Linked DNA regions of Kluyveromyces lactis. The protein of the gene in region 6 purifies or fractionates together with the protein of the main gene of each other region. This does not show direct contact. Links are inferred from orthologs where the notes say so. Each region holds a gene or a part of one and is shown on either strand. Other genes may lie near its edges.

The links.
Region 1: the proteins of LUC7 (region 6) and PRP39 purify together in Saccharomyces cerevisiae (affinity purification with mass spectrometry, with the first as the bait; 3 studies listed by BioGRID). This does not show direct contact. The link is inferred for Kluyveromyces lactis from reciprocal best matches to the Saccharomyces cerevisiae genes LUC7 and PRP39.
Region 2: the proteins of LUC7 (region 6) and PRP42 purify together in Saccharomyces cerevisiae (affinity purification with mass spectrometry; 3 studies listed by BioGRID). This does not show direct contact. The link is inferred for Kluyveromyces lactis from reciprocal best matches to the Saccharomyces cerevisiae genes LUC7 and PRP42.
Region 3: the proteins of LUC7 (region 6) and SNU71 purify together in Saccharomyces cerevisiae (affinity purification with mass spectrometry; 7 studies listed by BioGRID). This does not show direct contact. The link is inferred for Kluyveromyces lactis from reciprocal best matches to the Saccharomyces cerevisiae genes LUC7 and SNU71.
Region 4: the proteins of LUC7 (region 6) and SMB1 purify together in Saccharomyces cerevisiae (affinity purification with mass spectrometry; 5 studies listed by BioGRID). This does not show direct contact. The link is inferred for Kluyveromyces lactis from reciprocal best matches to the Saccharomyces cerevisiae genes LUC7 and SMB1.
Region 5: the proteins of LUC7 (region 6) and SMD1 purify together in Saccharomyces cerevisiae (affinity purification with mass spectrometry; 3 studies listed by BioGRID). This does not show direct contact. The link is inferred for Kluyveromyces lactis from reciprocal best matches to the Saccharomyces cerevisiae genes LUC7 and SMD1.
Region 7: the proteins of LUC7 (region 6) and SMD2 purify together in Saccharomyces cerevisiae (affinity purification with mass spectrometry, with the first as the bait; 3 studies listed by BioGRID). This does not show direct contact. The link is inferred for Kluyveromyces lactis from reciprocal best matches to the Saccharomyces cerevisiae genes LUC7 and SMD2.

The regions. Positions count from the first base shown.
Region 1 is NC_006037.1:712,018-716,929, reverse strand, and holds PRP39 (Prp39p), read left to right. Parts: upstream 1-2,063; coding exon 2,064-3,911; downstream 3,912-4,912. Other genes in the region: BFA1 (Bfa1p), read right to left, coding at 1-1,583; UV-damaged DNA-binding protein RAD7, read right to left, coding at 3,972-4,912. UniProt on the Saccharomyces cerevisiae protein: Function prior to stable branch point recognition by the U1 snRNP particle to facilitate or stabilize the U1 snRNP/5'-splice site interaction. Has a direct role in the assembly or function of a catalytically active spliceosome.
Region 2 is NC_006039.1:1,318,472-1,323,228, forward strand, and holds PRP42 (mRNA splicing protein PRP42), read left to right. Parts: upstream 1-2,222; coding exon 2,223-3,872; downstream 3,873-4,757. Other genes in the region: HEM3 (hydroxymethylbilane synthase), read left to right, coding at 755-1,738; YCX1 (Ycx1p), read right to left, coding at 3,892-4,757. UniProt on the Saccharomyces cerevisiae protein: Essential component of the U1 snRNP particle, which recognizes and binds the 5'-splice site of pre-mRNA. Together with other non-snRNP factors, U1 snRNP forms the spliceosomal commitment complex, that targets pre-mRNA to the splicing pathway.
Region 3 is NC_006039.1:1,598,628-1,603,511, reverse strand, and holds SNU71 (Snu71p), read left to right. Parts: upstream 1-1,837; coding exon 1,838-3,544; downstream 3,545-4,884. Other genes in the region: nicotinamide-nucleotide adenylyltransferase NMA2, read left to right, coding at 1-304; MCY1 (putative cysteine synthase), read left to right, coding at 529-1,683; MSB2 (Msb2p), read left to right, coding at 4,466-4,884. UniProt on the Saccharomyces cerevisiae protein: Component of the U1 snRNP particle, which recognizes and binds the 5'-splice site of pre-mRNA. Together with other non-snRNP factors, U1 snRNP forms the spliceosomal commitment complex, that targets pre-mRNA to the splicing pathway.
Region 4 is NC_006038.1:47,727-51,241, reverse strand, and holds SMB1 (mRNA splicing protein SMB1), read left to right. Parts: upstream 1-2,143; coding exon 2,144-2,719; downstream 2,720-3,515. Other genes in the region: Rab family GTPase YPT31, read left to right, coding at 236-849; CHZ1 (Chz1p), read right to left, coding at 1,189-1,707. UniProt on the Saccharomyces cerevisiae protein: Plays a role in pre-mRNA splicing as a core component of the spliceosomal U1, U2, U4 and U5 small nuclear ribonucleoproteins (snRNPs), the building blocks of the spliceosome.
Region 5 is NC_006040.1:320,024-323,273, forward strand, and holds SMD1 (mRNA splicing protein SMD1), read left to right. Parts: upstream 1-1,692; coding exon 1,693-2,118; downstream 2,119-3,250. Other genes in the region: KLLA0_D03740g (uncharacterized protein), read left to right, coding at 176-508; KLLA0_D03751g (uncharacterized protein), read right to left, coding at 498-1,061; U4/U6-U5 snRNP complex subunit PRP38, read right to left, coding at 2,266-2,970. UniProt on the Saccharomyces cerevisiae protein: lays a role in pre-mRNA splicing as a core component of the spliceosomal U1, U2, U4 and U5 small nuclear ribonucleoproteins (snRNPs), the building blocks of the spliceosome. Also binds telomerase RNA and is required for its accumulation.
Region 6 is NC_006042.1:688,335-692,133, reverse strand, and holds LUC7 (Luc7p), read left to right. Parts: upstream 1-1,577; coding exon 1,578-2,348; downstream 2,349-3,799. Other genes in the region: endopeptidase catalytic subunit IMP1, read right to left, coding at 49-552; KLLA0_F07271g (uncharacterized protein), read right to left, coding at 644-1,339; FG-nucleoporin ASM4, read left to right, coding at 2,608-3,799. UniProt on the Saccharomyces cerevisiae protein: Component of the U1 snRNP particle, which recognizes and binds the 5'-splice site of pre-mRNA. Together with other non-snRNP factors, U1 snRNP forms the spliceosomal commitment complex, that targets pre-mRNA to the splicing pathway.
Region 7 is NC_006040.1:781,350-784,512, reverse strand, and holds SMD2 (mRNA splicing protein SMD2), read right to left. Parts: upstream 1,658-3,163; coding exon 1,325-1,657; downstream 1-1,324. Other genes in the region: Ras family guanine nucleotide exchange factor CDC25, read right to left, coding at 1-661; MCM DNA helicase complex subunit MCM5, read right to left, coding at 2,000-3,163. UniProt on the Saccharomyces cerevisiae protein: Plays a role in pre-mRNA splicing as a core component of the spliceosomal U1, U2, U4 and U5 small nuclear ribonucleoproteins (snRNPs), the building blocks of the spliceosome.

The DNA.
Region 1 (4,912 bases), on a different chromosome or scaffold from region 6:
GAAGAGATAAATCTATTTCCATGCTCATCTCTTCCGAACGGCAGTTGAGACTGTGATCGAAGAATGTTACCAGAATGTCCTTGTGATTGGAATTTGACGTTCTTGGTAGGTGAAGATTGAGATCTTGGCATCAAGTCTGTGATACCATGAAACGGATCTTCTTCAGTACCATCAACTCGTAGCCATCTTAGGTTCTTTTCATCAAATCTCATTTTTCCCACGACCTTCCCATGCTGAGAATTTGAGGAGGCCGCATTCGTCCCTGATGCCGCTATTTGAGTAGAGGACGAAGTCTTCAACGGAGACTTTGACCTTTTGTTCTTGATGATAAACGCTTTCCGATCGACATTTTCAATGTTATCGAAACTGCTTAAAATATCCTCATTACCATCCCATCGTTTCTCCCTTGGGTTGTATTTCATCTTACCTCTTTTCAACGGCGTGTTGAGATCAATTTCTTGTCTTATTGTCTTTAAACGAGCACGAGCTCTTGTAGAATTACGTCTGTTAACAGCAGCAGCAGCAGCGGCCTGTTTTGCCGTACCCCGTTGTTGACGAGCTTCCCTATACGAATCCAACGGAGCGTCGAACGCATAATGCTTCTTATGCAGCTGTGGTGTTAATAAAGTGTCATCATGTTCGATATCATACTCTGAGGGTGATAAACGTAATGTTGGATCAAATGCTGAAAAGTTATTGTTGTTATTAGTAGCGAACTGGAAGTTATCGTCAATTCCTTCAAAATCATTACCGAAATTATCGTCATCGTCGTCTCCATTATTAGCCATTTCTGTAGCCTCAACAGCAATGTCTTGGACAACGTTACCGTCATCAGTTCTTTCACCAAACCTTGGTCCAAGATCCCTGTAACTCCTTCTAACTCTGGGCACATATGGATAGGGTTCATCATCTTCATCTTCATCGTCATCTTCGTCATCTTCGTCCTCAAGTAACACATCTTGACGGTTGAACCTCATTAACGATGGCATAGATGACTTATAACTGAGAGTTCGACCAGAACTGGGTCTAAGGTTCATATAAGACCTGCTGTTCGGTACTCGACGCGATTGCTGTGAATTCAAGCTTGTAATATTACCTTTACTACGGGTTGCCAAATCGACCATCGATCTACGCTGTCGTACCGAATCCTTCAACGATGGCCGCACTAGTCCCGCATGGTTTATATATTGATCCACATTTCTAGTACCACTACCACCACCGGTCTTAGAATTTCTCAGGTTCAATGATAGCTTCTTCTCCAGTTGTTCTTGCAAATCAGCTAGCTCGTCCTGATCCGAACTTTCCCTAAATCGTCTATCCACAGCAAGAGGTAGGTCTGTACCATTTTGGTACTCTTCAAAATCACTGTTATAGTTCATATCATCATCAAGATCGCTCGCCAGTTCCGTGTGTGATGAATACCTCTTATCCTTAGAGAATGTGGTATTTTCCGTAGTTGTGGATGTAGCTGAATTAGGTGCCAATCTCGGTACCTCTATATCATCTTTATAAGTAAATGTGCTTTCAACATCTTCAAATGATGTTTCTCCGACATCATCCAGTACAACTGGACGTATAGACATCGATAATCGAAGATTGTCCCTGGTCTTTTCCCTTGTTTATTCCTTTGTTTACATCTCGAACATACCTTTAATGCTTCCGTCATTGATGTATCTATTAACCTTAAACAAAATAATCATATTCGTGAGACGTGATACTATATTAATTGCTGTTTAAACCGCTGTTGAGACGCCAATTCTGCATTTCGAGCACTCCTATAAAACACTGAGATTCCCAGAATTCGACTAAGTTAATAATTACCTTTTAAACACTCATTTAGGCGCGTTTATCTCTGTTTGTTTTTCTTTCATGCTTCCAAAATGATTCAAAATTGCAAAGAACCGTATTATTGTAATTCTTTAAGATAAATCTCTGTTAAAGATGCATGATGCCACCAAACAGAACAAGAGCCTTTAGCTGCTATCCGTGAGCCGTTTTGAGTGTGAAGTCGGCAGCAGGGGTTTGCATATCAAATTTAAGAAGGAAACTAGGGATTTTATGAAATGTTTGAAGGATTAGACCAAACTTTTCTGAAGAATAACGATGAATGGGTGCAGAGTTATAATTCTGTTGACTGGAACGATATAACTACTATCGACAAACTGGTGGTTGGTACAGAAGCATTGGTACAGAAATACAATAATCCCAATGAACATGTGAAGAGCAATATATATAAAGTTTTTGATGAGTTATTGGGAAGGTATCCGTTATTTTTTGGTTACTGGAAACGATACGTTGCGGTGAAATATCAGCTAGATGGATTAGAAGGGTCTATTTCTACTTTAAAGGCATCTTTACATTCGTTCCCTACGTCGATAGATCTTTGGATTGATATGTTGAACGTTTATCTAACACATAATCAGAATGATAGTGAACTGATACGAAACCAGTTCAGGAAATGCGAATCCCTCGTGGGATCTCATTTCCTCTCGCACGATATTTGGGATAAGCACATTGCATATGAAACAAGACTACAGAACTGGGAAAACGTATTTGAGGTGTACAAACAAGTCATGCAGCAACCTTTGCATCAATATGCAAGATACTACACCAGCTTTAAGGAATTCTTGGAATATCACCCAGAGTTTGCTAATAGGGAATCAAGCATCCATTTGGATACCACATTTATTTCTAACCAGGAGAAGGTGAACAAAATATGGACATATGAATCACAAATAAAACAGCCATTTTTCAATATCCCTGAGCTTCCCGAGAATGAGATTCAGAATTGGGATGCTTATCTATCTTTCTTAATCAACAACACTGAGTTCAGTACAGAATTAATAAAATCGACGTTTGAGAGATGTTTGATTCCATGTTTAAGATACGAATATTTCTGGGGAGCCTATATTGACTGGACTGAAAGGACTTTTGGTCCCGAATGTACGTTCCCCTTGTTTGAAAGAGCACTCCGGGCTCTTCCTGCTGATAATAAATCTTTCAAGCAAAAATACATCAAATATTTGGAAAGTAATATGGATCCATATAATAAATTATCTTCCAAACACTATATGGACGCTCTATACACGTTCCAGCTTAAATGGCCACATGATCCAAGTTCAACTATTAAATATTTAAGGTTTCACAAGAGAAGATATTTTGCAGCATCTTTGAATGATGAAGACAAAAAGATCTTGGAACAACAGAGTAAATATGCTACATTTTTGGATAAAACTATCAAGGCGTACCTATCAGGGAATGCAGATACGGAAAATCACGACATTTCCCAGCAGTTGCTTGCCATGCTAAATGACACTACTCTTCCGATACTGGTAGTTGAACTAATAAAAGTGCATTGGCTGGTATTGAAGAACGTCATTCAATGCAGGAAACACTTTACATACTTCGCCAAATTGGATCCGATCAAGACTTCAGTCTTATTTTGGTTGACTTACTACAAGTTTGAAAAGACTCAAAAAAATATCGCCAGATTAACAAAGTTTGTCGATCAATTAGGCACTGAGATCGTATTACCAACAAAAGTTATCAATGATATCGTACGAGATTTCCAAGGGTTTTATCTAATCAATGCAGATTATTCCGAGTACGAAACCAATTTATCGCAATCCCGTTTTGGGTTTGACCCAATAGTTCACAATAGGTTCAAAATCAACAACCCAACATGGAGGCCGAACGCCAAGCTAACCAAGGACTGGTATAAATCAGAAAAGTATAGATCGAACGGTCATCCTGGATTGTTCATTGATAAGCCTCAAATTAAAAATACTATAATAGAGACGCTTGCATCGAAGCAGCTCAATCCAGCACCTTTGCCTACTTTTAGAAATTTAGAAAAGATCCATCAGAAACCTAAATTTGATGATTACATGTCTATAGATTATTTAAAGTAGTAGCTGAAAGGGCATTCTCACACTCAAGCATTTTCATGATCCTAGAATTTTTTTAATCATTTATATACTGTCACTTTGCCTTCCGATAATGCTTACACCATTCCGAGGAGAGCATTTGCCTGTGACTTGATTATCACCATAAACTTCAATAATAGTGAGCTTTTCATTGTCCTTGGATATCTTTTCCACAATTTCATTATCCACACAGTGGACAAACCCTATATTTAGCTGCTTGAGGTTAGGACATGCCATGAAGGTGAAAGTTTTGGATGTTAGGGATTTCAGACCATTTAGATTCAACTCTTCTAAGGTGGAAGAGGAGTTAAGTAATAATTCAACTACGGCTGCATCCTCCAAAGCAAAACATCTTTTCAAGCTACATCTTTTCAACAAAGGGAACTGCAACGAAGAGAATAATAGAACTATGCCGTCGGTGGTTATCTGATCCAATTCTTCTAATTCCAAGTCTGTAAGGATTGATTGCCCTGAGTTAGACAAAAATGGTAAAAATCCATTAATTATACAGCTATCAGTCAAGCCAGTGCATCTATTGAGCGACAACTTCCTAAGGTTCTGGCCTATGGATCCTAACAAACTTATAATAACCTCGTCATTAATATCTGTTTCTCTAGATGGCTCTTCCAAGATCAAAGTGTGGAAATTAGGAGAGTTAAGATATTGCGGTAATAGGGCGTAATTTGTCACAGTATCTAGAGTTGCTAGACCTAGAGATTCCAAGGACGATCCACAATTTCGAAGCATAGCTGACAATGCATTATCATTGAATCTATGGGTATTGGAAACATGAAAAGCAGTAAGTCTACCCTTTAGCAATTCGAAGAATTGAACCCATGTATCCTCATTAATTAAGAACGGTCCATCAAGGTATAGTTCTTTTAGGTTTGGTAGCTTTTCGGCTAGATACAAGAGAGCTTCATTATTTAACTGTCCACACATCTGTAAGGAAAGCGACTCTAAATGCGGCGAAAAGATGGCAAGTC
Region 2 (4,757 bases), on a different chromosome or scaffold from region 6:
TAAAATGGCCCTTGATATATCTTGGCCTATGCTCACTAAATATAGTTCAGCTAGCTGCCCTCATTGAGTGCTTACTTGATAACTTAGACAAATATCATCAATTGCTCTTTAGATCCATCGGTCATTATTCTCGACCAATAAACACTCCTTCCAGTTTTCGGCCGCTTAGTGATCAATCCTTGCACCACATAATGACTTTCAACCTCATCTTTCAAGATGAAAATTTTAAACAAAACCAGATATCAACACATAAAAGCGCTTTTATTTGAAGACGTTGATGATACACAGAGGGATAGCCCTTGACAAATCTGATATATTTTCATTGATAGTGGACGCTATACCTTTGCATTGGAAATTGCTGCTAATATTGGTGGACCCGTGAAATTCAACTGGTTGGTGTTGAATAGCATTTCGGATAGTTGTAATAAGATTTAAAAAAAGAAAGGTTGTTTATCCTTTGTCTTTACATTAGGATATTAAAGTTAAACTCTTTAATTAACAACCTCAGTCAGAATCCACCGTTCTTGTAAATATAAAGGGATTCTATTGATTTCGTGTCTGATTGCTAGTCATTGAAGTGTTTTTAACTCTTATAAAGTTCCTGTTCGGATTAAAATACCTGTATTATAGACAGTTTGGTCTCCATCTCTATTCAATCATTTAACAAAAGGGACTCAGCTTTAAAAGTGAAAGATAACATCGTACATTCATTAAAGTGTTGTACTGGGTTTTAGTTATATATTAAGCTATCATAATGGAATCTAAAGAAACTGTTCGTATTGGTGGCAGACGTTCGAAGTTGGCTGTTGTTCAGTCTGAGCAAGTCAAAGTCATGATTGAGTCGAAATTTTCCCATATCGAATGTCCACTTCTATCTGTACACACTCTTGGCGACCAAGTTCAGTCTAAGCCCTTGTATTCTTTTGGTGGGAAGGCTGTGTGGACGAAAGAACTAGAAGATTTATTGTACAAAGATGATGAATCTCGTATCGATCTGATTGTTCATTCATTGAAAGATATGCCAACTCTTCTACCTGATGGATTCGAATTAGGCGGTATCACGAAACGTGTAGATCCTACAGATGCTCTAGTCATGCCAATTGGTTCTCCGTACAGTAGCTTGTCAGAGTTGCCTGACGGCTCGGTGGTCGGAACTTCATCAGTAAGAAGATCTGCTCAATTAAAGAGAAAATTTCCAAACCTGAAATTCGAAAGTATCAGAGGTAATATTCAAACCAGGCTGGCGAAATTAGATGATCCAGAGACTCCTTACAAATGTATCGTTTTGGCCAGTGCCGGCCTAATGAGAAGTGGACTTGATTCTAGAATTACCCAGCGTTTTAATGCTGACACAATGTGCTACGCAGTCGGTCAAGGTGCGCTTGGTATTGAAATCAGAAAAGATGACGAGAAGATGAAAAAAATTCTAAAAGAAATTTGTGATCCTTCGACGACTATCTGCTGTCTAGCCGAGCGTTCTTTACTCAGAACTCTAGAAGGTGGTTGCTCAGTTCCAATTGGTGTTGTATCCAACTACGACGAAAGTACAAAAGTGTTAACCTTAAAAGGTATTGTTATCAACGTCGAAGGTACTGAATGGGTAGAAATCGAACATAAGGTCACCATTTCTAACGAAAGGGAAGATAGTATAAATTGTGGTAAAGAACTTGCTGCTAAACTAACCCAAAATGGTGCCAAAGAGATCTTAGACTCTATCAATCTTGACAAAATCACTTAATGACGAACATTCCTTCTAAAACACGAGAGTGGAAGAAAATTGAATGGGCATGAACTCTCGGCATTCAATATAAACACCCTTTTCCCTTGCCTTATAATTCACTTATTAATGTCTTCTCTTGTTTCCGTTTACGCTTTTAATTTTATCCTGATGTATGAATTTGCATATTTACTTATTCAAATAATGTTTAATCATAGAAAAAACATGCACTTAATTAAGACCCTTTTTGCATAAAACAAACCTATATATATACTGCGATGAAGCAATGAATTGGAATGAGTTCCGAACAAAGATCTCTTTGCCATGTCAGTTGTAGGTCTGTTCAATTATTTCTTTGTTTATAGATGCAAAATAGAAAAATGACCATTATCAAGAACATGAAATATATACACGTAGTTTAACTCATGAGCCAACATAACAAAGTAGAGCACGCAGCTAAACGCACTGAAATCATCGTTGCTCTGCCAGTACTGTGAAAAAGGAAATGGAAGATGATCTTAATCTATTAGGTGATCAAAAGCTATCTGAATTCAGTCTCTTAATATGCAAATATCCAAAAAGTTTGCACCATTGGGAGAATCTTTTGAATCATTTATTGCTGAAGGCATCACCTATCTCAAAATCTATTAATAAAGACCTTCTTCAGCTAGTACGATCGACATATGAATCATTACTCTACCAGTTCCCCTTTTTGGAGAATTATCATGTCGAATACGGACTATTGGAGTATAAACTAGGGAATTTTGGTAAGTTTCACGCTATATTCGAGAATGCTCTTCAGTATTTCAACAATAGGTCATTGTTAATATGGGTAGAATACTTGAAGATCTGCAATAAAATTATGCCCAGTGATAAGCAACTTTTCCAAAAATATGCCTTTGCGGAATCCTACATTGGATTGCATTTCTTCGGTGCTGAATTTTGGCACATGTATCTTAACGAAATAAAACTGCGATGCAAGACACCGCAACATTACATTCGAACGTTAAGAAAAGTGATAGAAATACCGTTATATGAATATTCCAGTTTTTATGATTTGTGGCTACAAACCATTGAAGATGTTAAAGATCTTTCACAATTAAGGTTCTATGCGGAAGATAAAGAGCTATGGAAAAAGTTGAAGATAGACACACAATTGAATGGTCGCAGAGGCCCACATTTGCAAGTCGCCAAGAAAGCTTTGAAGAAAGTTTCTAAAGAGTTATTCCTTGTCGTACAGTATGAAGTTATGGAGATATATGAATTGTTTGAAAGTAAGATCACCAAAAGATACTACATGTCTGCGGAAGAACTTATTCCACACCAGGAAATCATCGTCTGGACGAAATATTTCGAATATATCAGGGAAAAGAAAATTTCAGACCTAATCAAGCTTCAGTTTCAGCGATCTGTGCTCCCTTTAGCTCATTATGACCATATATGGTTGCAGTACGCCAACTATTTAATTGATGATTTGAACGATTTCATTGGTGCCAAAAACGTGATGTTACAGGCTTTATCCTACGTTCACAAGCGTTCCAGGATTGTCACAATGTTATCCTCGGTTCTCATTAGATTAGGGCAGATTTCAGAACTCCATCAATTATATGATGATATTTCACTCGCATTCTCAAATGATCTAACTACTTCCGATGATTTCGAAATATTCATTGACTACATACAATTCAACTTGTTCTTGAGTTCTGCCAATTCAAAAAGTCGCTTCAGTGGTTTAACAAACAACATCGAATTCTCCGACAATTTACTGGATGTATTGATGAAAAAGGCAAGTAAAGAAGATGATCATAACAGACAATACATTTTATTGAACATGGTAAATGAAATGTACGAGCGTTTTCCGCGTGCTTTAGTTGAAACTAAAGTTTATCAACACATAATCAATAGCAAATGGAAATCGTTCCTGGAAAATCCAAAGTTCTGGTACCTTTATTGTTCTCTAGTATGGTACGATAATAATATCACCTATTTAAAGAGGCGGAAGCATATTATAAATGATATCATTCCATCTGCTGCAAAGTATGGTAAGGCTGTTTTGTCTGAAGTAGAATTGTTTATTTCAAACTACTTGCCAGATGATATGGAACTCTTTACTGAAGCCTACACAAATCAGGGACAGATGAAAGTTCCTATTTAATTAGTTTATGTCTACAAGTTCACTTATTCAATTCAAAATAGACGTTTATAGTAGTGATAATTCCATATAGGAATAAGAGTAAACAGCCAACTCTCTTGTCTAACTTCCAATTATTTAGGGGGACCACAAAAATAAATATGCCAAACGCTATGACTATGCCGATACAATTGAAGACTAGTCCACGATTAACATCGAAATCTATGTGCCTACTCCATATTGCTGTACCTTCAGGGTATTCCCTCTGAAGAAGGACGAGCATGCCATCTACACCAACACCAAATAGGAAATATAGTAGAGGGCTACCAAAACAGGAACCCAATGCAATCTCCAATACTCCAATTCTGGTGAATGTGACATTAGAGACCAAATCACCAATAGAATTTCCCCACGCAAAAACTGTCAAACCAAGTATAGCTTCTGAGAGATTGAACGTCTCCGCCCAATTCGTTAAAATGTCAAGCACCAACCCAACAACAAATGATATGGAAGAAATTGAAAGAACAAATCCAAATAAAGAGATATATTTTTCCTTGACCGTTAGTTTCCATTTGAAGAACATCAAAAGTAAAATACAGGATACAATTAAGCCAAGAGTAAATAACCAAATGTTAAATTCACGTTGTACCAACAGAAGAGTCAAGAACGGGGAGAATGCACACTGACAATAGTACGCAGCTTTGAAAAAGTTACTCCCTGACATTGACGAATAGTGAAGGGGTATTATAAGAGTCAGAAAGAAAACAATTGGTGTGGTGATGAGAATTATTGCTAGTTCGAAATTCGAAGTCGCAAAATTTGGATCAGTTAGATATCTGAACACCCTTAACTTGGACTCCCACTGATCCTCTGGTTCTGCTGAAATTCCGTTATCAAGTTGTAAGTTCA
Region 3 (4,884 bases), on a different chromosome or scaffold from region 6:
GGCAGATTATGATTTACATCATATTTTGGGTAATTACGGCTGTCTCATCGTGGAAAGAACAGGTTCAGATGTTCGTTCGTTCTTGTTGTCTCACGATATCATGTACGAACACAGAAGGAATATCCTTGTCATTAAACAGTTGATCTATAATGATATCTCTTCCACCAAGGTAAGGTTATTCATCCGACGGAGAATGTCGGTTCAGTATTTACTGCCAAATTCTGTCATCAGATATATTCAAGAGCATGGCTTGTACGTAAACCAAACTGAACCAGTGAAACAAGTTATCGGTAACAAGGATTGAGTGTGACACTAATTGTTCTAATCACATATTCTCCTTCTCCTTTCTAGACTCCTCCCTGGTCAGACTCACGTGATGTCTTTAACTCGAAGATAATATACACACAAATTGTAACAGTTTTTAGTTAGTTGAAATCCTTTTTATAATAGAAGTTCTTAATCAACAATAGTATTTGTCGTCTAGCGAAAGTTGCGCATGCTGTTATCCTTTGATCTAGCTCCGTAACGATGACTGCTGCAGACAGATGGAAGGATTATGCCTGTGTAACATCCCTTTTCGTGGCTGTTGCATCGTTATACTATGCATATAAGGTTAAGACAACTACATTAACTGCTCTATCACCACCAAAGGATGGAGTGGAAGACTTGATAGGAAATACACCAATGGTAAGAATTAAATCTCTTTCCGATTATACTGGTTTGAACGTTTTTGCCAAAATGGAGTTAAATAATCCAGGTGGTAGCGCAAAGGACAGAGTTGCCTTGAATATTATCAAAACCATCTCATCGCAGGAAGGTATTAAGGGTTCAAGTGATAAGAAAAATAGAATCTTTGAAGGAACAAGCGGATCTACAGGTATATCCCTTGCAATATGTTGTAACGCGTTGGGTTACTCATGCCATATCTCGCTACCGGACGATACAAGCCAAGAGAAACTTTCTCTTTTAACTGCACTTGGTGCAATAGTGAACAAGGTAAAACCTGCTAGTATAGTGGATCCGAACCAATACGTAAATGCAGCTAAGTCGTGTTCAGAAGAGTACACTGAGGGTGTTGGTGTATTTGCAGATCAATTCGAGAACGAGGCCAATTGGAAATGCCATTACGAAACGACAGGACCTGAAATTTATCTACAATTAAATGGGGAAGTGGATGCATTCATCACGGGATGCGGTACTGGTGGTACCATGGCCGGTGTTTCTCGTTATCTAAAGGAGAAAAGAGGTGACAAAGTACATATTGTGTTGGCTGATCCGCAAGGCTCGGGTTTCTACAATAGAATCAAATACGGTGTCATGTACGATAACGTAGAGAAAGAAGGAACAAGAAGAAGACATCAAGTGGACACATTAGTGGAAGGAATTGGTCTTAACAGAATTACAAACAACTTTCTGAAAGCGGAAAATTATATAGATGATTCCATCAGAATTACAGACGAGGAAGCTATTAAGATGGCCAAATTCTTATGTGTAAATGACGGATTATTCGTTGGTGCCAGTACTGCAATCAATGCAGTCGCAGTGCTGAAATATGCGGAAAACTTACCGAAGGGTTCAAATGTTTGCATCATTGCATGTGACAGTGGCTCTAGACATTTAAGCAAGTTCTGGAAAGAGGCCCTGCAGGTGAGTAACGATCTTTCAATTTCAGATATCATATAAATAACGTACAGTGTGTTTAACTTTGGTCTTTTGTAAATATCAATTAATTGGAAAAATCTTGAAATATATATATCGAGAGAGTAGACGTAAAGTTTCAGCGATGAGTTAGCAAATAAACGCTGATACTACTAGGCCGAACGTGTTTAACTCACTAATGGATACTGTATTGTTTGTGTCGCCCACATTATACTGCTGTGGAGACACGAAGAACTGGCAATCACAGGTGCCGAAGCCAGGATATGTGCCGATTTTGAAGAGTGATATCCCCAAATTTGAACAGTCGTTGAAACAAGCCAACAGCCATAGAGACCATGATAAAGGGAATTCAGTAGCCTCGAAGACTAATGAAACGGACAATTCTGATGAATTCAAGACTTCAACTTCACGCTATGTTGATTTGAAGTCCTTTTTACCAATTTCGTTAGAACAACAGTTGCATACCGTTTGTTTAGCACATTTTCCACTGGGACTTGGATCCAAGGGTATTGATAAAGTTATGGACAGACTAGACAATCTAATACGGAAAAAGCTGCAAGTTGAAGATAATGAGACCAAATTTATCAAACAATGGAGTTACGTCGATTGTGTGAATACGTTGACGGTATATATAAGTTTCCAGGAAAGTATAGTGGAAGAATATGGGAAAGCGATACAGTTACTTGAGAAATTGTTTGACAACGGGTCAGATGGGATCGGACTTCACATGGATGAAAACACTAGACGGTTCGTTTGCGATCTGACGGAAGGTTCTCCTGCTAAGGAACTCGATGAAACTGCAAAAGATGAGTTCTCCGCATTAATTACAATGTTGAGATCTGAACCAGGCTCTATATCTCAGGAGAAAGGGTTGGCTGGAAATAGTGCCGTTGAGTATAACGTGGATATAAGTACGTTGAGTGACCTTCCGAGTTCCTCATTAGACCAATTGTGTAAGGATATTGTTGAGTTTAGAACTCGTGTCATTACGTTAGAGAAAGAGAAACGGAATAAAGAGCTAGCGGAGGAAGAAAAACGGAGGAAACAAAACTTGAAGCATATATTTGACCGTATCAAGGTTACTAATGGAGGCTCGGAAAAAGGTTCAGCCCCTGAAGCTGAAAGTGACTCTGAAGATTCAGACGACGAGGTTGAGGGTTACGATGATGAAGATGCGGACGATTACGAAGCGGAAAAAAAAAGAGTTCAAGCGGAAAGAGATGCGCAAGAAGCCCAGTATGAATCCATGGTTCATAGTTTCCAAGATTCGTTACTGGTCCAATACTCATCGCTACGACAAGAATACCAAAGGTTACAAAACTACGAAACGCATTTACAAAAGAACAAAGGTCCTATGTTAAAAGAGTTATTACATCTTGCCATGGATCCTTACCACGACCATCACAGGCCATACAAGGAATCTGAATCCAAGGCAGATGAAGAGGACCGTAAACGGGAATCTGAAGAAGTACCAAAGAAAAAAGCAACAGAAACAGAGCCAGAGACAGAACTAGAGCTAGAGCTAGAGCCAGAGACAGAGACAGAGACAAAATTGGTATCGGACGCAGATGCGACAACGGCTGCACCAAAGATTAAATTAGCACTAAAGAAATCCATTGGAAAGACAAAGAATGAGATAGAAGAGGAAGAGACTCCTGAAACCGATGCGTTCCAACAGAAGTTGAATCTACTAAGGGAAAGCGGCGTAGTGGAAGAACTCGTCAAAGAATACTTGGGAGTTTACGAGCCCGACTTAGTCTCATATATCTTTGAAAACATCGAAGAACATCAATCGAAACAGGCACTCGAGACTGAGCTTACAGAGACGTTCGACGAAGATAGCCCTGTCCTAGTGAGCCGTATATGGGAAGCGATGGAACAGTAGTGGAATATACCATACATGTGAATATACATATATATGTATATGTAGGTATGTGTGTCACATGTCTAATAATGAGATTCTATTACCCGGTTACGTCTCACGTGACTGTCACGAAATTTTTTCGCCCGATTCGAGTGTTCCAGCCAGATCGGGCGGTAACATGAGGTTACTAGAGGTCCGGGTAATCGTGTTTCATATTGATTCGCGTTTTGTATATCGTATATAGCGATACATTCTCAACTTCACCAATTTTTTACCAGATCCAGAACGGTTACAGGAAGAATTGGCAGGATGAGATAAACAAAGGAACAAACATAGAGATTCTATTACTTGTAACTTATGTACACACCTGATAATGGTGGAATTTAGTTTCTGTTTTCGTTCGGGTTGCTTTAGGCAAAAGATAATAAGTTTTTAGATTCGAGATTTATCGTCAGGGTCAAACTTTTCAACAAAGAACGTTACCAGTGGTAATATTTTGGTGTATACATCTTTCTTTTCTTTGTGTTCCTCCATTCATTCATTTATTGATTCATCTCAAATTACTTATAAGTTTTTTATACATTTGATAAGAAGGATCTATTAGAGGTTTTTAATAAAGAAAGATTATCAGAACTGACCTACTGATCCAAATTACCTTCCAATCCTCAGTCTTTAGGAAACTGCCATCGTTTGTTTAGTGAGCTTATACTTTGAACGTGACAAGAGCTTCAGGCAGGTTGAAGTGTACTATCGATCTCTGTTTTTTTTTTCCCCGTCCCATTGTTTGGTGATATAAAATTATTACTTATTATTACGGATTGCCGGTTTGTCATTAGAAAACTTTGAGAATCTCAGGTTTGAACTAAGGCCTTCGGCAAAACTTTGATTACTTTTCCAACTATTTTACATTCTTTTTTCATTTGATTTCATTCGCTTAACACGATGCAATTTTCCAATTTAAGGTTTTTGTTAACCGTTATATTCTTGGGCAACTTTTTAGTATCTGCCCAAGGATTCCTGGATTTTTTCCAGACTTCTCGTTCTGATAACTCTACTAGATCCATTCAGAGTACCGAGACCAGTTCCAGCACTGAGAGCAGTTGGAAAACTACTTTGAATTACGATTCATTGACAGTGGCAGAACCATCCACGTTCTCGCTTTCTTCAAGCACGCACTCTAAGAGTCGTACGAGAAATGGTAATGGCGATGATGATTCGAGTAGTACTTCAGGTACCACTTCTGTGTTGACTCCTTCATCGATCACCTCTTCTGCGATCTCACGTTCTACCAGTGGAAATGGTATCCCATCTTCTGAATACTCGGCTTCCTCCTCGAGCACTGCAAGCGATTCTGCTAGTGT
Region 4 (3,515 bases), on a different chromosome or scaffold from region 6:
ATGTTCCGTCAACAGGGGATCTCCAGGGTCCCGTCCCTCCTCTTAATTCAGTTGAGTCTTTTAATCTTAATTCAGTGGTTATACTTTGTTCATCGCACATGCGAAATTTTGTTAACACCAAGGGTGGTGGTAATAATCTTATGCTTCTAAAATGAGCAGTTGTTTTACTAACCCGAAAATTATATCAAAAAACCGTATTATTGTGGTTTGCTGGATACGATTATCTTATTAACAGTCGTGCTAATTGGAGATTCTGGAGTTGGTAAATCCAATTTGCTATCGCGATTCACAGCTAATGAATTTAACCTTGATTCAAAGACTACTATCGGTGTAGAGTTTGCTACAAGGACCATTGAAGTGGAAGGTAAAAAGATAAAGGCCCAAATTTGGGATACTGCTGGCCAAGAACGTTACCGCGCAATCACCACAGCATACTACAGGGCGGCAGTTGGCGCTTTAATAGTTTATGATATCACTAAATCAAGTTCCTACGAAAATTGTAACCACTGGTTGGCTGAATTGAAACAAAATGCCGATGAAAATGTCGCTGTTGGACTCATTGGTAATAAATCTGATTTGGATCATAAACGTGCGGTTCCAACAGATGAGGCTAGGAATTATGCTCAAGAAAATCAACTTCTTTTCACGGAAACTAGTGCATTGAATGCTGACAATGTTGACGAAGCGTTCAGAGCATTGATTACTGCTATCTACCAAATGATTTCCAAAAATCAACTAGACTTGAATGACGCCTCAGGAAACAATGCCAACGCTCCAAAGGGACCTACGATCTCTTTGACACCGGCACCAAACGAAAAACACAAAAAGAGTACAAACAACTGCTGTTAGGAATTCTAAACGTGTATTATGGTCATTCCTTATAGGGTGTTTATATAGAAAGTATAAGCCCCGGAAAGAAAAAGGGAAGCAGAATTATCATCGACTGGGACATTTATCCCGATTAAGTTAGACACTTGTTTTATGTATATAACATTGACTGCCATAATTATGCAAATACTAGCTGTTTGGAAGGACATCCTGAAACTTCTTAACTGCAAAATACCTTCTCAGTTCATTGCGTCGTATCCATTGTTCTTTTAAATGAAACACTACCATAATGTCAAACATGGAGATTTAGTGAAACTACAAACTTTTATATGCGCTTGAGTAAATTTTTAATTCAAATTTCTATTTGGGTTCAGTCGGACTAGCAGGGGCAGGGGCAGGAGCAGCTGGATCCTTGAACTCTTCGTCATTTTCTTCATCGTCTTCATCATCATCATCATCCTTGCCAACCTCACCATTTTTTTCCAATTTCTCGGCAGTCTTTTTATAATCAATAATCTTACCACGAGTTCTCCTACCAGTAGTTATAATATTGGAACTATCGATTTCTGAAAGGTCGTCTTCTTCTTCATCTTCTTTTACCATCATTTGATCTAATTTTTCGTCATCGACTTCACTTTCACTATCTTCTTCCTTGTTAGCACCAGAAGTAGCAGATGCCTTGTCTTCTTGAGCAATTTTTTCATCCAAATCATCATAGTTTCTTCTTCTTCTCTTCTTTTTAGATTTCTTATCGTTGGCATCAGCGGTAGAAGCAAGCTCACTTTCAGCACTTCTTTTAGCTTGTGAAGCAACGTTGGAAGAGTCAGGCTCTTCTGCACCTATTTGAAATTCTTGCTTATCCTTAATTTCTTCAGCCATATTTGCAAACTTTGTATCTGTTGATATGATTAGTGTGCTGATGTTCGAGGAGTACGACCTAGGCTCACGCAATGCTTTTTTTGATCTAAAGATGCTTACCAGTATTTGTTTCCTTTTCGCATCTTGCGAACCAAATATAATTCATATTATCTCAAATCCCAAAGAAACATAATTTTCCACGTGATCATTTTTTTTCATAGCCGCATAGTGGATGAATTCTAACTATCATGTTGTATCGAAAATTAAAACATTAACTAGTTTCACGATCAATGAGTAACTTGCGTTGGTCCTATAAAGAATCACTGCTACGGACCGCTTTTTTGTGCATGATATAAGGATACCTCTTACAATCGAGTTTACAGTCTTTTTCACTTTCTTTGTTCACCAAGAAGAATAGTTATATCTCTAAGCATATCATACAAAAGATACAAGGACGATGTCGCAAGTTGAAGTTAAAAAGAAGGAAACGAAGCTATCAGATTTGATAGATTATAGAATACGAGTCGCTACCCATGACGGAAGGGTTTATATTGGCCAACTTATGGCTTTTGATGCATATATGAACCTTGTAATGGGAGATTGTGTAGAGGAACGCATGCCTCATAAACAAATCATAGAAGTACTTAAAAGTGGAGGAAACTTGTCAAGCAATGTGCAAGTCGAAAGAAGGACTTTTGGACTAATAATTTTACGGGGTGAGCATGTGTTGAGTACCTCGGTTGAGTCACCTCCCCAACTCTCTAAGAAGGAACGAATCGAAGTCCAGAAGAAGAATGCAAAAAAATTAGATAATGCGAAAAAGGCTCGTCAAGGGAAGACTTCTAACAAGATGAACGTTGGAACGAATGGATCTAATATAACTTCAACTAACTCAGAAAGTTCAAATAGAGTTACGAAGCCAAGTCATAAACCTATCAATACGAATTCTGGAGCTCCCAGTAGGTTTAATTCTAATAGTCAGGTACGCCCCAGCCGGTTCCAAGCCCCTCCAGGCTTCAAAAAAAGAAACTAAACCAGCGAACAACTTGTCATACTTATTGATATAAAAAAAATTGTTTTGGTGCTACGATCACCGATCTTAGCTATAATTATCCGAGACATGTTGATAGATATGTCTTTAGTTACCTCTTACGTACACGCAGAGGACTTTGGATATCCCACTGTAACGACTAGAACAAGAAGATATAGAATTTATCTAGCTTTATCCAGTGTAATGATATCCCTGTACTGCGCAACGTTAAAAGCCTGTGCGAAATATGATTATCCACCTCATTCCCTTTTCAACCACCCCACCAAATGCCTATACGAAACCTCCAGATATACCCCATGACCCCACCATAGCCCTGCGGACAAAAGAAATGTTATGTGTTAAATATGGCTTCCAACTGGACAATCATGGTGCGGAATATCTCTCAGCTGAGAACGGGCAAGAATTAGAGTTTGCAAGTTTCGCAAAAACAACAAATATATCGCATGCCACGATATCATGAGTGTGTGTTTTTTTTATAGGAATCCGGAGAAATAGTCCTACTGATTGTTCAAGCATCCCGGAAAAACCACTTCGAGATTTTCCGTGTGAGGCTTCCACTAATTTCCCCCAGAAATTACCATTGATTGTTTCGGAAAAATTATTCTCCCTGGAGTAATCTACCTGAATAAAAAAAAAATCTTTGTGCAAATTCAAGCTCCGTTGCTTTCATAGAGTCTCGTCATTAATTTCTAATTGTCCAGCTGTTCAGTCTTTGTCGTAAGATGGTGGAAATCCAACCCACTTTAACTTACCAAAGCACCGTAATCATCATCATCAT
Region 5 (3,250 bases), on a different chromosome or scaffold from region 6:
TCATTTATTCAAATGTGCAGAATATTATTTCTGATCTCTGACACTTGATATTTAAAGGGAGTGTGACAGGACTTTTTAATATTAGCAGCTTTGTGGACTAACAACAAATTCATTTTGCAAACTCAACTAAGGATTATTACACACGCATATCACTCGCCATAATTTTCATCGATCGATGGTGAATATTAGAACTACAGAATTAGAAGGAGATTTAGCACAGTTGACCTATGAACTTGGGTTGAAGGATAAGGAAGTCATGACTTTAAAGCAAAGTCTGGAACGCCTCAATGCTGAAGTCGAGAAGCTAAGAAACGAGAACAGAGGCTTGAAAAGCGAATTGGAACATTGGAATAAACTACCGATGAGTCCAATATCTTTGTCTTCAGAAAACGATCAAACTGAGGACGATAAAAACCGAATGATTCAAGAGAATTTGCGGAGAGAGATTCTTTCCTTGAAGAATGAAAGTAATATTTTATCAGAATGGATCAAGACCCTTATTTCTTGAATTTCTTCAAATAAATATTCTGAGCCGTACCCAGAATTGCGTATGCCAAACTAAAAAATACGGACCATTTATCTGGTGAAATGTATCTTTGAGCAATTGACATCAATACCGTTGATGTTGCCAAGCTGGAAGACAACATTGCCGCATATCTTGTCTTGATTGCGTGTATAATTTTTGTTTTGTCAACCTTACCGTTGTTAACAGAAGTCAAGGTAAATAGTAACCCTAACACTTGAATAGGCGATACCATGCCTAATGAGCAGCCTAACTGGACCAAGCTTCTATATTTGGATACCACTTTCCTAATTGTGTATTCGTTTATCCATTTGTAACTGAAATGATTAACTGGTGCGTTAAATAGACCACCATATAGACTCATCAATGCCACTTTGATCCAATTTAGCTTCTCTTTTCTTTCCTCTGGAGACAGACTAACCCATTGACTGAACAGTTCGCTTAACCCAGTTAATACCGCGCCTGTTATGCATTTAGTTAATAACGGGTTACGTTTGAGTAAAATATTATATCTCTTCAAGATTACTGATGACGACATGTTTACTCTTGGCGTTAATCTTTAATACTCCCAATCTCTCGATGCGAGCAGCAGTAACCTTGAAAGCTTGCGATCCATGAGATATGAAAAGAGTAATATCTGACTTTAACATCTATATATATATATATATATATATATCCAGATTTTATCAAAGCAATGACTGACAGAACGTTTTGTTATCGCTTGCATGGATAGTTTCTTATCGCACTTCTCCGTGTATCTGTTAACCATTTAACATGAGATGCAACGGATCTAAATACTTTTTGGGTTCCATGTAAGATTCGAACACATGCTCGCTCGAATGTAAGAAACCATTGGAATCTCACGCAAATGAGTTACCCTGTTAAGGCACGTGATAATATGAAATTTCCACTCTTTTCCAGGAAAGAACGACCCCATTGATTCTTGAGTATCAATTTGAACCATTTCATCCATCATTATGTAGAATATGTCAATTGAGTAACTACGATCAAATCCTGATCTTTTATCAAAATCAGGAAGTTGCTTGTGGATCATCTGTTACTTTTGCAAAATTCAAAACTCTTTTTCATCAAAACCATTTGAAACTGGTAACAGCTTTCTGGTGTATCTTTAGTCCGATTGAAACAACGAAGTTTTATATACAGACAAAATGCAGTTAACAGGGTTCTTAAAGAAACTAAAGAATGAAAGGGTGTCTATAGAGTTGAAGAATGGTACCACTGTTTGGGGAATAGTGAGGAGTGTGTCACCGCAGATGAACGTCTCTCTTACTGACGTCAGGCTGACACTCCCTACTAAGACCTCAGAAGCTACCTTGGCTGCCGTCTTATTGTCAGGTGGATCGACACAAGGACAAGAATCTAAGAGAACAACTAGCCTCGAGTTCATCAACATTAGGGGTAATACGATAAGGCAGATTATTTTACCAGATAGTATCAATTTGGATGCGTTGCTTGTAGACCAACAGGAAGTCAACAGGTTGAGGAAACAAGGTAAAGTGGGAAGTGATCCGAATAAGAAGAGATCACTTGAGAGTAACGGGAATGCTCCTAAACGTCCAAAGAGGGCATTTTAATATACATCAGAAAACATATGTGGAAATAAATATGTAGTGATGTTATGGACTTTGTTTTGATGAATGATTAAACACTATTGATAATTATCTTTCATAATGAATAGCCGTTCTTTCCAGTCGATGCCTCCAAAAAAAGAAAGAATGGAATCAAATTTGATCACTGTCATCTCTTGGATCAGAGCTGGAGTCCGAGTCGCTTGAGCTCTCATCGTCCTCTTCATCGTCCCATATTTTACACCAATTGCATTTTCCTAAGGGGATGCCCCAAATTTCATTCCTGTCGCATAACCAGTCTATCAACTCATCGAAATGTATCAATTTAATCTCTTTTTTAATCGATGATGACCAACAATCCATATCTAACGAGTAACTTTTTAATTTTCTATGATCAAGTATATATTTCTTCATTAAATCATGTAATAAATTGAACGATATATCTTGCTCGGAAGGATTACTCTCAGTTAAGAAATAATACGAGATTCTCATATAACATAATACCAGTGCTGCAATATACTTGTTGTTTAAGGGTTCATGCGGTTCTAGTAATACTTTTAGTTGTTCCCACGGAGGTCGCAGGTTGATCAATTTCATCAATAGACATTTGAACTCTATACCACCTAAGACAGTCACATGCGGGGTTTTCCGCTCATCCATAGTCCCGAAATCTCTCACAATAACAGGTATAAGTTCGACAATGGTATCTCCCCTCAAACTTGCGGGCGTTAAATTAAATTTATAATACATGCATGACGATACCTTATTTCTAAATATTTGAGGAACTACCAAAGACGCTGATTGGTGATTCAATTGCTTTCCAGACAAGTTCTCCTCCACGTAGAATTCGTTAGGCATTGTGTGTGTTATGAATAATACTAAACTGTGTCGAAGACAGTAGCAGCTGAGCTCTTTTGTTCTTTATATTTGATATCTGCCCTCTATCAAATTGGTTTCTCATTCATAATGATTTATAGTTCTTGGTGATATATATAATATTTATATATATTTGCAGAGCAATTTGATCTAGATAAGCAATATACATGCATGGTGACTAAATATTTACAGGTGAAAAGAACAACCCATGTTGGTCTTAGGTGTGTTTAGGATATGCGTGATGGGGCCAGAGGTAAGGGGG
Region 6 (3,799 bases):
TACGAACATAAACTTCTATAAACATTCCTATTTCATCATTGAACTTTATCATTTCTCATCAAAATAGCTGTTAGTGATTTCTCTAAACCCCCAAAAAGTCGATAGAGGCTTGCTGAAATCGTTCGCTGCTACGATCTTCCCCTTGATTAAACCCTTGGGTATCGAATTATATGTCCTGGAGTCTAAACTATGAGAAAGATTGTCCCCAGTCACCCATACGTGACCCTTTGGAACCCTGATAAAAGTTTCGTAAGCTTCCTCATCATCTTCTTGACTGGGATCAACTAATATCAAATCACCCTCCATTCCAGTTATTCGTTTGCAAACTCTAGATTGTGGATCTGTGGGCTTCATAGCAACTATACAGTCTCCCATCTTTAAGTCTCGTCCGTCCTTATACCATTTCAGAACATGGACGTAATCGTTTACTCTATTCAAGGTCGGTAACATTGATTCACCTCTCGTTTCTGTAAACTCATAGAAATGTGTATGAGTTATATGTATCAAACAAACTGTACGTACCACATAGCTACCAATATTAAGCCAACTCATCACTGCTAACACCAAATAATACTCGGTGTTGTGGATGTTTTCCCACTTTCCGCACTACTAGTTAAATCTTCTCTGGAATACTAGATTTCTCTCATCTCATTATATCAGCATAAGTTCCATTTTCGAACTGTTGAAATAGTTCTTTTGGTGAGAAATACACGTCGTAATCCTCTTGACACACGGAAAGCTTTCCATCCAATAATTGTATCGTACTGTTGGCAAAAATTCCCCAACCTCTGTTGAAGCTAGTATCCTTATTGATCAAATACGCAATGGTGCAATGGGTCGTCAACCTTACCGTTTCCATTATCTCGATCATGTGACACCATAAATCTATCAATGGGTCTACCTCTTGAATTGGTGTGGAAAGCAAGCCACCAATGGTAGGTTCATAGTACTGAGTCAAATTGATAACTACGTTCACGCCAGAAAGAATCGGTTTCCAGTTCTGGGTATTAATGTTCACGAACTCGTAGTTTTTTTTTCTGTCATTGATCAAGTTGATATGAGAATCAAATGTAAGAATCCACTTATCGGATCTTACATCGTCACTTCTATAATATTCTTCCAATCCATATAGAATATCATCCCTGGCATCCCAATAATCTGCATTGATAACTTTAATGCCATATTTGAATATCAATTCTCGACAAATTCTAATTGCGCTGTCATTACCATTACCTCCAATAACTAAAGCAGAAAATACAGGCTCCATTGTTTCTAGCTTGCATGTTCTAATTGTACTACAAATTATTTCAAAAGGATCACCTAAGATAGGAATGATCATGTTTAGAAAACCTAAACTGCCATTTGTGTCATGTTTTGCTTGTGTTATTATATATTTATTTTCAGTATATTTTGTCGTCAGAATTTAAACCTGGCATTTTCAACAAGCTACTTGAAAAGGCGTACTGAAGAAGTATCATTGTTGAACTGACCAACAGAGCAGAAAAAGTTAATCACAGAGTCCAAACTGCACGCAACAGTTTGGTGTTACTTCCATCAGAGATATTTGTAAGTGAGAAATGTCTGCAATTTTAGAACAGCGCAAGCTGATTTCTCAGCTTATGTCTTCGGCTGCCACATCGCATGGGCTAACTTCACCATCAACGTGCAAATCATTTATCATTGGTCATTGCCCCTATGACCTTTTCCAAGAGACCAAGCAGCCCATGGGGCATTGTCCACGTATACATTCAGTCTCGCATAAAATGCAATATGAAAGAGATGTAAAGAAGGGCAAGAAATATCCTGAGTTTGACCTTGAGCATTACTCCATCTTGAAGAAGATTCTTAGTGATTGTGATGTTCAAATTGAAATGGCACATAAAAAGTTACAGCATCATGAGGAACATTCGAAATTAGCAGCACTTCTACAAGCAGTGAATCAGCTTGAATCCAAATGTGCTTTAATGCTTTCAGAAATCGATATGCTTATACAAAACGAAGAAGTTATGAAGGCGATGATTCAAAGCTGTAAATATAACAAACTGCAAACAGAAAGGGACACACTCAGCGAAAAATGCAGGCAAATGAACGAAAACACAGGCCAAAGTGCACAACAGAAGCTACAGGTATGCCGTGTATGTGGAGCCTACCTTTCAAGATTAGACACGGATAGAAGACTCGCTGACCATTTCATGGGCAAACTCCATCTAGGATACGTAACTATGCGTAAAGAACTTGACATGGTAAAAAAGAGATTGCACGAACAAGGGACAGATCTTCACACATATCTCCCGCAAACAAGGAGACATCAAAAAGCAGTATATAGAGGTAAATCTTATCGATCGTGAATGTATAAATTTACACATACACTGAAGCTGTTCATAATGGCAAACATTACCCGGATTTGAGTATTCTAATTGAAATAAAACAATTTCAACTAATAAACATCAAGAATAAGATTAGATGAGAATAGCTGTTATCATCGTAGCATGTTCATATGCACCGGTAACACTGTGGTTTGGTGTGTTCTTCAATTTCAAGTAGGATAAATTGATCATTTTTGACTGTTGAAACATTGTTGAGAAAGCGAACTGACAATCCTAAATCATGAGTTCAGTATTTGGCCAACAAGCGCAACAAGAGAACAGGTTTGCAAACTTGCAAATAAATTATCCTCAGCAGCAGCAGCAAAACCAACAACAGCAGAATAGTTCACAATCACTAGTACAGAGCTCTGCCACGAATGGAAAGGAAGAAAACTGGTATAATATAGCTAGAAAGAGAAACATTCCACAATCCGTGATAAAAAGATCGTCTAAACCGAGCTCATCTGGAGATGGATCTTCGAATGACAACTCTTCCCAAAGATCCGGATTCAATAGCGTCCAGTTTGGCACAAAGAAGCCAACATTCAGCTCTACGCAGCCTGCACAACCTACTGATATCGCGACTTATGTGGAATCGAATGAAGCTCCCCCAACAAAATCGTTATATGATTGGCAACGAGAGGATGAGTTCGGGTCTGTCCCCACTAACGTGAACGCAATGCCTTCGTCTAACCAAATACCTTTGACTCAAGAATACACTAAGAGCACAAGAAACGCATTCGACAGAGATGCGTCGAAATCCCCTGTAAAACCGACAGCGGATCAAACAAATGATATATCAAGACAAAAATCGCAAGAGAGCGCAGTAATTGTATTTGGATATCCAGAATCCATTTCAAACCAAATAATATTACATTTCTCAAAATTCGGAAATATTTTAGAGGACCTTGAGGTTCTAAGAGGTGTTACAGGTAACAACATATCCAGTGCTACTATTAGAATTCGTGCTCAAAATAAGGACTCTAAAATTCCTCATAAGAAATATCCTATCTTCACGGGCGATGGATGGATTAAAATCACGTATGACTCCCCTAGTGCCGCTCTGAGAGCTCTACAAGAGAATGGTACCGTTTATGGAGGTTGTTTAATTGGCTGCGTTCCTTATAGCAAAACAGCCGTAGAACAATTGGCTTCGTGCAAAATCGATAAAACTGATGACATCGGAGAAATCCCGTTCAGTTTATCGATGAAACCAAACGGACCTGAATCATCTGATATACAAAATGGGACACAAGAAAGTGCTGATAATAATAAACATGGGTTCACCTTTTCTACTCGGAAATTGGATGTCAAAGATGGAAAGCAGTTGTTTGTGCATAATGCAAACCCTCCTCATGGTGGTCCAAACTTTTTAAGAAATTTGGAGAACAAGTTACGAGAACAGGAACAGCATGGGAATAACCAACAACCAA
Region 7 (3,163 bases), on a different chromosome or scaffold from region 6:
TTGATGCACTTCTTGATTTGGAGGTTGCATTTGGTTTGCTCCTTGAGTGAGAGAAGGATCTGCGATTCATATCGAATTGGTAATCCTGTTTCAAATGCGATGACGGGCTAGAATTATTGACACTACTTGCAGAATTTGAAGGAGACGTCGACAGTAGCGTTTGCCCACTATTTATTGCATTATCATGATTATCGTGGAAAGTAGTCGTACCAAGACTTTTCCTTCTAAAGTTCCCGGTACTCACCAAAGATCCCCTTCTTGACCCAGACGTAGAACGAATATTCATATTCCCAGATGGGCTGCCTATCCTCAAACTGTTCCTCCGTGACCCATGGCTACTAGGCCTATTATTAAAAGCATTGCTGCCATGGTAATTCAGAGGAAATATCTTCCGACTTGAACTGGTATCCTTTATTGATTTAGTATAACTTCTGGGGAACCAGCCCCTCAAAACCAAGCTCTTATTATAATATAAAATACCGTCCCACCAACCTGAGTCACTCTTCGATATAACGTAGATAATATCACCGGCAAAAAACCGTAATTGAGATTTCCTTAGCGGATTAAAGTCATACTGCGCTATCACTATGTCCAAAGGTTTTATAATTGTAGACAATCCAGCTTTTGGAGGATTCATTCCCTCGTCCTGTGGCCTTTCCATTGTCAGTTGTGAAAGCTATAGAATAAAAGCACACTTCACACGCCTCTTTTTAATATATAACTCTTTGACAATAGTACCTAACGTTGTCCTGTGATTGTTTTGATGTATTTCAGTTAGGTTTTGCGCTTTGACTTATCCCTGTGATATAAAAGAGCGATTTGACTAGTTTTTTAAAAGAGTTCATGAAAGTGAAAAATAAAAAAAAAAAAAAAAAATATGAAGAAATATCATTCGTGAAATATCCAAACTGAGTATTCGTTACGTTAAAACGGCAAAAATAGTGATTAGCAGTATACTGAATTTGGTAAGGCAACCCCTTAGCTGTAAAATAAGGGATGTATTGGGTTGTATGGTTTGAGCCGTATTATGTATTGATATCTAGTTCTATAGAGGATTAAACGGTTCTTTTGAGCTTGAATTACGTATTTTGAGTATGCGCCGTTTGGAATTCGACATATAAAAACTAGGGAGAATCCGGGCACAGATCAGAAAGTTACATTGGTTCAATGCGGTAAAGGCTTCACAGAAGATTAATGCATCTTTGTCCTGATATTTGATCAGATTATTAGCTCTATAACCCTTTTACTTGATGCTTTCAGTGGCAGCGAACATATCAGTACACGTGACTTCAGAAAGGATGTTGATGGGATGATAAAAACAGGTTCATGTCTTTACCACTATAATCACTGAGTCCCCTCTAAGAAAGAGTTTCGCTACGAATCGCTCTCTGTTAACCTTCTTACCATTTACATTCTCTGTCCATATTTCTTTAACGTTTTCCAGAACCATGTTACAGTGCTTGTCAAAAGATTTCACACGAGCTATGAGTTTATGATTGTTCCTTAGTGATATTATAACAGGTGTCCTCTGTAGCATTGATTCCCTGATTAGAGACATGGGTCCATATTTCATTTCGAATTCTTCTAGTTGTGTTAGCTCGTCTCTAGATAGTTCAGACCTTGAAAGGTCTGTCTTTGGAATATATGTATCGGCCATCGTGTTTTAGGTCAATTTTCTAGTATATGTAACAGACAAATCCTGAAGATAAGTCCTTGGCTTATGATATTTGCAATCTCGTAAGTTTGTGATAACTTGTCCTGATTGCCATATGATATGAGAGGTTCCTTCTTTGGTCATCTCATCATCTCATCCTGTGCATCAAACCCAATATACCATCCAGTTGTTTTCTTTCGGATTATCCAATTATCATTATCATTATCCGGGTAATCTTACACTATATAAATATCAACACATAGTCGCTGAAATTCCTTATACACAGTGGTACATATGAGTTATAGACAATGTTCAAGGAGGGGTTCCTGAATTTCATTTGCAACTTCATACTCCACTTCTATAAATATTCTGACCTTGATGTCTTAGTTGAATAGAATCATGTCTTTCTAACAGGTATAACGCCTTATCTAGCGCATATTGGGGAAGTTTCTTGTTCACAACGAATTCCCTTTGCAAAGTTTTGTAACTTGTAGACCATCCTATTGGCAACCTTCTTTTCAATTCAGATTCGATTCTTCTAATTTGTGAGAGCATTGTTGTATCATTTTCCTGGGAGTTGATAGGATCCTGAGAGGCAGCATCCATCGTAGAAGCTTGGAATAATCTAATGGCTTCATCAACATGTTTTTCGGTCGCTACTGGATTCAGTTCTAATTTAGCTAAAGATTCTGTGATACGAATTATGGCTTCTAATTGACGAACTGTGATTGGAATGGAAGACCTCTCATTGGAATGTCTTTCGGACTCTTGTAATTGTTTTCTAATAGTGATGAAATGAGAAGATAATTTTGTGGCTGCTTCAGGAGATAACCTGGGGGCACATTTTAACCTACAGTAACTAACATATCTCTTCATAGTTTCTATTGGAATTTCGTTGTTGGAGTTGGAATTATCATTTGGATCGTTTTGTTGAGTTCTTCCTGTGTGAATGTTCATGACGTGGTTCGCAATTTGGATATCTCTAGCTTCATTGTGATCATCTTTAACAATGAAGATCATATCGAATCTGGACAAGATGGTAGTTTGGAAATCAATGTTTTCACCCGGTGATTTCAAATCATCATATCTACCGTAAACAGGGTTTGCTGCAGCTAAGACACTAGTTCTAGAATTCAAAACGGTAGTGATACCGGCTTTAGCAATGGAAATAGTTTGTTGTTCCATGGCTTCATGGATGGCAACACGGTCCTCGTCTCTCATCTTGTCAAATTCGTCAATACAGACAACACCACCATCAGCAAGCACCATTGCACCTCCTTCTAGGTAAAATTCCCGTGTAGTTGGATCTCTTTGGACACTTGCCGTCAAACCAGCTGCAGAAGAACCTTTACCAGATGTATATACCGAAATCGGAGAAACTTTTTCCACAAATTTCAACAGTTGGGATTTTGCAGTACCAGGATCACCAAGCAGTAGCACGTTGATATCACCTCTTAGTCTCATACCATCTGGTAACAATTTCTTCGATCCGCCCATAAGGAGACAAAC